Coturnix japonica: one gene and its partner. The protein of the gene in region 1 binds, or shares a complex with, the protein of each later gene. Links are inferred from orthologs where the notes say so. Each region holds a gene or a part of one and is shown on either strand. Other genes may lie near its edges. The genes, in order: MALT1 and BCL10.

Region 1 (2,757 bases):
AGTCCTGTGGTAACTAAATACTACTTCCCTAGTCGATGCCAACCAAATTCCTGCCCAGGGGCTTACCATCCAAACTGTACTTGCCCAGGCAGTGCTAGACAACTAGAGGCGTGTTCTTGCAATGGGACTTCAAGAATGTTAGCTTCGAGACACGAAGTACAGAATTACTCAGCCCCTGCAGAAAAGAGTAACGTACCAATAGAGACCACTGATGATACCGTTGAACTGGAATTCCTCCTGTCTGACAGCCTCAGGTTGTCTAAGCAGCAGTAGCTGTGGTGTCTTCAACAAAGATGCTCTTTTTCCGTTCTGAACAGGAGATCCTCCACACTGCTTACTCAGATTCTGGATTTTGGAGATTTGGGGATAAAAGGACTGGGGAGTGCAGAGTTGGTACTGGGAACAAGGCTGTGACTTGGGCTGGTTCATATTGCTCTCAGGGAAAATTGTCCGGATCCAAGGAGGCAAAACTGGACTGATAGATTTAGAAATGAAAAAGACATATATAAATGTATTTTTTCCTACCATTAAAGGTTTGAAACATGAGGAGAAAACAAAACCAGACTCCTCAGATTCCTATTCCATGATCCAGCAGTCAAGAAAGTAAAGAACACATGCAAGCATGGGTCTGTGGGAGGAAGCTTCCTATCTGTGTTAGAGAGTGCAAAGAGGCCGGGTTCTGGTGCCAGCGTTTCTCTTGAAGGTGAAGCCTTGGATCTTCCCAGCTGCTGCTTCTCCAGTACCTACTGGAATTGTAAGGTTTACTGTAAGTGAGTGCTTTGTACTTAAATACTCAGCTTTTAGAGGGGAAATGCTTGTTCTGTACAAACAAACGTGCCTAGCCATCAGAGGACAAAAATGTCAGCAGACTTGAGCAGGAAAATGAATTTCCATTTTCTCTGTGATTTTAAAAGAAATCATTAGCCCCAAAATGATAAATAATACCTTTCCCTTCAGTCTCAGTTTTTCAGTATCCGGAGGCTTCTTTTTACATACTGCATTAGCACGGGGTCTGGTGTTTTAGCGTGTTAGAACAACCTTCCTGTTGGGTGTATAAGATGACACAGAGTAAACAAAGGCAGGGCTTTTCCAGAAGTGGAAGTGTGGTGGTTGGATACTCTGGTGTTAAGAACTGTCTCCTCAAGCGAAGTATTGCTTAAGTAAAATGTGCTGAGATACAAAGAATGAATGGGTGAGACAACCGAGAGCTTTGGGGTTCTTCAGGCTGAAGTTACAGGGCTGGTGTACCTGGGCAGAAGCCATTGCTTTCTTGTGGTGATTGAAACAAGCAAGCAAAACCCAAACAGCCTACTCAGTTGTTTTCCAAGCCAAAAGAATTCACGTTCTTTCATGTTGAGAGGATAAAGAAGTCTAACCAAAGAACCCAAGATGGTGATTCCAGCATGCCCAAGTGCAACAAATAGAGCTCATTCACAATCTGTGCAAGCCATGGGATGCTGGCTTTGTGGCAGGGCTGGAGCTGTTGTATATTGCCCTGTAGCTTTGGTAATACTGTTAAATGGTATTGTTTTAATTAAAATTCCCATCATAGAATCAGAGAATCACAGGTACCCCCAATAAGTTGAGTATTCTCAGCGATGTAATGGACGAAGCAATTCGGATCCTCAGTAGAGCACGGAGCCTTCCATGGGATCCAGGTGTGCTGGCTGGGTGCTCTGTGTGCTGCCAGCAAAGCCAGCTGAGTGTGAGCAGCGCTGCTGGCCAGCTCTGCTCATCTCATCTGTGCTGCATGGCGTGTGTGTGTACGTGGGAGCTAATGTAGTCATCTATCTCCACATTGACAGCTGTACTTGAACTGATCTGTGTATGAGTTTCTGATTTCTCCTTTGGAGAACAGTGAGGTATTTATTGATGACTGAGATGCACTGTGCATTAATTATCCTATGCAATATGCAGCTGGCCTATAAATTAACATTACAGCTTGATGAATGTCCCGGCACTGTAATATGACCTGGTACTTTGTCACCGTGTTCTGCTTTGTATGAGAACTTTGTTTCTTACTCCTCAAATAAACTGTTGCCCACAGGGTATCTCTGCGCGTGTAGCTGCTGTTTTCTCCTAATCCTGCGGGTTAAAACTGTGCTGTATTGTAACAGCATACAGCAGAATTCTGCCTGTATCAGCACGCTTGTTTGCAGTCGATCTCTGCTCCTCGTGGCACGGGGGGGCGTCCTGGTGCGGCAGTGCCGTATGCAGCAGCCGTGTCCCTGCACAGCGAGCAGCCGGCGCTCCCTGTCTGCATGCAGGGTGCTGCACCAGCGGTCTGAGCGGGAAGCGATCGGTGCCTCGGGTGCTTGAGATGAATCTGTTCGAACGTAGTAAAGAGAAGGTCATGAACTGTAGGGATGGGAAGGAGACAAAGCTCAGCCCGTGGCCGTAGGGTCTGTGATGGAGATCAACCACAATGATCATCTGGTTTCAACCCCCTGCTGTGAGCAGGGTCACCAACCAGCAGCCCAGGCTGCCCAGAGCCACATCCAGCCTGGCCTTAAATACCTGCAAGGCTGGGACATCCACAGCCTCGTTGGACAACCCGTTCAGTGCCTCAGCATCCTGTGCTGAAGAAGGGGGTGGTGGTCAGAAGGCATTTCCTTGTGGTGTCACCACTCGTAGGACGTGCTCCGGACGTTCTGGTGCTGAAGGACGAGTGCAGGAGGTGAGCATTTCCTTTGGCTGAACTTTAAAAGTGAAGCAGGACTAAACCTGGGCAGCTGCTGGAGCAGCCTCTGGTCGTGG
Region 2 (3,917 bases), on another chromosome or scaffold:
CAACAAGCACCTCATAAAATATTTAAACCTTGAAATGCAAAATATGATGGTTATTTAAAAAGAAATGCCCTTTGAGAATTTAGCTGTGGAATATCATGTCAGTGAATCAAGTCTTCCTTCACTGGGTTTGTGAATGATTCAAGTATAACCTGACAAAAGAAAAAGAAGTCAGTCAGTCTCCTGCACTTTGAACCACAGACGTCCTCATATTCTCAGCTACCTCACCCCAAATCCACAAGGCATAGGCAGATTGCTGTGGGTTTGTTGTTTGAAAGCTGTGGTTGTTAGCTCCAGAAATCCATTCAGTTTGGTCAAGGCCCCCCGATCTGTGTCTTTGACTGAACCAAAGTCTTTCCCAATGCCTGGAAGCTTTCTTCCTCACTTGGGCAGCGCTGCTGTGGAACATGAAGCACCCAGGGAGAGGCCCTGCTCTGCAGTGAGGCTGCCTGGGGAGAGGCAGATCAGTGCGGGCAGAAGGGGAGGAATCAGCAGCCAGCCATGGTGCTGCAGAGCCCAGTGGCCTCCTCTCACAATCCAATAGTGCTACAGAGCTTGCAGGGGCCCCTGTGTGAGCACTTAGAACAGTGCGACGTTGTAAGCAGTATCTGAAACTTGTCTGACTTGAAAATGTCTTCTAAACGTGCGTATGTACATGAATATATAAACCAGTGCAGTGTCTGAAATCTTCCCACCTCCCTTCAATAAAAGAGCTCTCTATTTCTCTCCTCATTGAGACTCATGTATCAGTATTGAATTGATGCTAACCTCCTGAAATGAGCATCATACTGAAAGCAGTCTCGTTCCGGCTGCTGGGCTTTTAATTCCAGTTTTATTGGCAGTAAATCTGCTCAAATCTATTCTATTACTGAGTTTTCTGCCCACAGTTACTTCCTTCCAGCTTGCCCCATGCTGGCCACTGTGGTGCACAGATCCAGAATCCCAGATCCAGAATCCCAGCTCTTCAGGTGCTGCGTGGCTTTGAACTGCACCTCTAACTGAGTGGGGTTAATAATATCTGAACTTCAGGGTGTGCAGCAGCTATTTTTGTTAGAACTGTTGTACAGACATCAAGGTCTTCAGCAGAATTTCATCTGAAGAGGAGCTGGAAGATGTTCAGCTAATGACCAATGTGGGAGTGGGGAGCTGGGGGACACCTGCCTCAGCTCAGCAGTGCCACAGCACCTTGTGGGCAGCTCCAGACGATCTCAAAGCACAAGTTTGCCCTGTCTGGGGCTGCAATTTTAACACCCAGCTCTACGGACATCAGAACAGCGAGTATTGCTGTACTTTTAAAGCGTTCTGGGCGGGATGTTTGCTATGGAACGTGCTTATGAATAAGCCAGCGGAGCAAAGCACCTGGAGCATGACCCGCTGTGACACTGAGGGACACGGAGCTCACGGGCTGAGGGTTGAACCAGCCCCGGCACAACCCACCCGGTGGGCGGGTCGGCCGCGTGCCTTCCTCGTGGCCCGGCGGGCGGGGCGCAGCTCGGAAGTGGTACCGGGGGCGGCTTCCGCAGCGGTTCGTTCGGAGCGGTTCCGCCATGGACGGCTCCGGCCCGGCCTCGAGCGCTGTCGGGCGGCCGTTGACGGAAGACGAGATGGCCGACGTGAAGAAGGAGGCGAGTGCCGGGCCGGACGGCGGGCGGGAGCCGGTGCGGTGGGAGGTGGAAGCGCCGTTAGAGCGGGCGGGGGGCGCCTCGCAGCGCGGAGTTCCCCGGCGGGCAGCAGGGCGGAATGGGGCGGAATGAAGGGGGCGGAGCAGCCTCCAGACACGCGGAACTTCCCAGGGCCGGGCTCTTCCCCAGAGCCCCGCCGCTCTCCGTCCGTCTTAGGGTAGAGTAGAAGTGCGGGTAGTTAAGGCGGTATCGGCAGGTGGTTGCAAGGACAGAGCTTAGCTTAGTTTCTTAACAGTTTTATGTGCACAGCTTTTCCTTTAAATGCTGTGTCATAGGTTGTGAGGCGTGTTTTTCGAGTTACTGCTTGCTTCTGTGGAGCCTCCAAGTGCAATAGGCAGCATCCGGTTGATGCCGCAACAACACAAAAGATGAAGGCAGGACCTACTTACATATCACGTCATGCATACAGGCTCGTTTAAATTGATCTGTGTTAGTGACTGAGTTCACGGTTTCTTCTCCCAGCAGTCCATCAGTATCCCTTCAGCCTCTAATCTTGCATCCCATATAGTAATTGGAGGACTTGATGGAAGGCTGATATGTAGTAAGAGAGAACTTCAATTTTAGCACCAAAATGCAATACAGTAAATCTGACTCTAGAGACTCTCCTATCAGGGAGGTTCATTGCTGCTTTGTTATGTGCTCGCTTGGTTGCTCCGAAGTTGTTCAGGTACCTCTGATCAGGCACACTCATGTGAGCTGTGGACCAGGCCAGGTGCTGGTCTTTCTTCATGCAGGCAGCACAGCGATGTTCAGAGCTTGCAGGGCAGGCGTGTGTGAGCATAACAAAAGAAACAGCTGCTTGTCCAGCTCTCAACTAGATTAAGTGGCTCACAGGGCAGTTAGGATATCAGAACAGATCCAGCTTAACTGTTGTGAGAGCACAGCTGTAATAAAATTTAAACTAACATTTAAACTTTTAGCCAGGCTCCTGATACCTTCTCCCTACCATTTTGTCACATCAAAGAAGACTTAAAGCAACTGCCCAGACTGTCACAGGAGTCTTACACCCTTTTCTGCACAATGATCTGTGAGATAGAAAAGTTGCACCATCAGAAATCCCACATGTCTTATATGACAGTGTACCTCAGAAGGCTCTTACAGAGATCTAGGGTAGACTTGTTTAAAGGAGAAATTACAAAGGGTGGAATCTAATGTTGGAGATCTGGGAAGAAGGCAGTGAGACATGCAAGAACACTGATATAGGAACGGGTTTTTAAAGCTCCTGTTCTTCTGTGTTGACTCTTTCTGTTCCTTACAAACTGCTCACCTGCGTGGACAGTCAGGGAAATTCAGAACTGATGCACATCGTGTAGTGTAAGGCATGGTACAGGAAGGTGTTAGTCAAAACACAGTACTCTTCTTTTGAGTAACAACTTGCTTTATACTTCTAATACTGAAGATTTTACTGACTCTCGTGTCTCAGAGTTTGTTGATCGATCCCTCATGGTGGTAGGAAGTGGTACGAGAAGTGGAAAAAATCAGTGTTGCAGGCAGTATTTGTAGCACAGCTTGCTGCAGTTGGACACTTGAGGCGTGTTGCAGAGCAGGTGGATACAGCAGTGCTGCCCTTCTCTGTTCTTACCAAGTCAGTTAGGCCAGTGCCCTGTCCAGCACAGGAAGCTGGATCAAGTCATCATCCAGTTGTGGAACTGGATCCTCTCACTACCAGGCTCAGAAAACACGTAGGGACAGCTACAGCTGCTGCGTGCCCGGAGCCTGAAGGAGCCACCCGTCTCCAGCCGCACTGTTATGCTCTGGTTTCACATTGAATTCAGTCTGACTATGGCAGTTTGCTCCAAAAACCTTCCCTGCTCATCAGTGCACAAGTAAAGCAAAGAGTCTCTTTCACGTTGTTTTCATATAATGTAATCTCAACAAGCTGGAGGAGGTTTTCTTCAGGAAAAAGCCATGATTGTTTCTTTCACCACTTGTATGTAAAGCTTTTTTCCCCACTTCTAGCTCTCAAATTGCTTTTTCTTTGAATTAAATGAGGAAAATTTGATGGAAGGAGGTTTTCTTTCACACTGGCAACTTTCAGCTAGCGGATCTGGCTTGTGTATTTCATTACAGTGAAAACTGTTGGCAAGGGAAACTGCCAGTTCTGTAGTATTATGTAAAATGAAAGCCTGTTTTTCAAGCAAAAAGGTATCATTTGTGACTCATCTTCATAGAGTAGTGGATTGGTTCTTGAAATCAGAGTTGGGAACGAGGCATTAGTTCTGTTTTGAAGTTAACGTA

Evidence for each region.
Region 2: the proteins of MALT1 (region 1) and BCL10 are in contact, whole or in part, in a cryo-EM structure (PDB 6GK2), measured with the Homo sapiens proteins. The link is inferred for Coturnix japonica from reciprocal best matches to the Homo sapiens genes MALT1 and BCL10. Residues at the interface, in NP_006776.1 of Homo sapiens: Asp46, Gln47, Ala48, Pro49, Trp54, Arg55, Leu74, Glu75, Ser78, Leu79, Val81, Leu82, Glu83, Pro84, Glu85, Gly86, Pro88; in NP_003912.1 of Homo sapiens: Leu13, Lys17, Val83, Arg87, Asn93, Gln97, Thr100, Leu104, Arg107, Asn108, Leu111.

The regions. Positions count from the first base shown.
Region 1 is NC_029547.1:743,460-746,216, forward strand, and holds the end of MALT1 (mucosa-associated lymphoid tissue lymphoma translocation protein 1), read left to right. Parts: coding exon 1-273; 3' UTR 274-2,051; downstream 2,052-2,757. UniProt on the Homo sapiens protein: Protease that enhances BCL10-induced activation: acts via formation of CBM complexes that channel adaptive and innate immune signaling downstream of CARD domain-containing proteins (CARD9, CARD11 and CARD14) to activate NF-kappa-B and MAP kinase p38 pathways which stimulate expression of genes encoding pro-inflammatory cytokines and chemokines.
Region 2 is NC_029523.1:14,244,232-14,248,148, forward strand, and holds the start of BCL10 (B-cell lymphoma/leukemia 10), read left to right. Parts: upstream 1-1,368; 5' UTR 1,369-1,544; coding exon 1,545-1,622; intron 1,623-3,917. UniProt on the Homo sapiens protein: Plays a key role in both adaptive and innate immune signaling by bridging CARD domain-containing proteins to immune activation.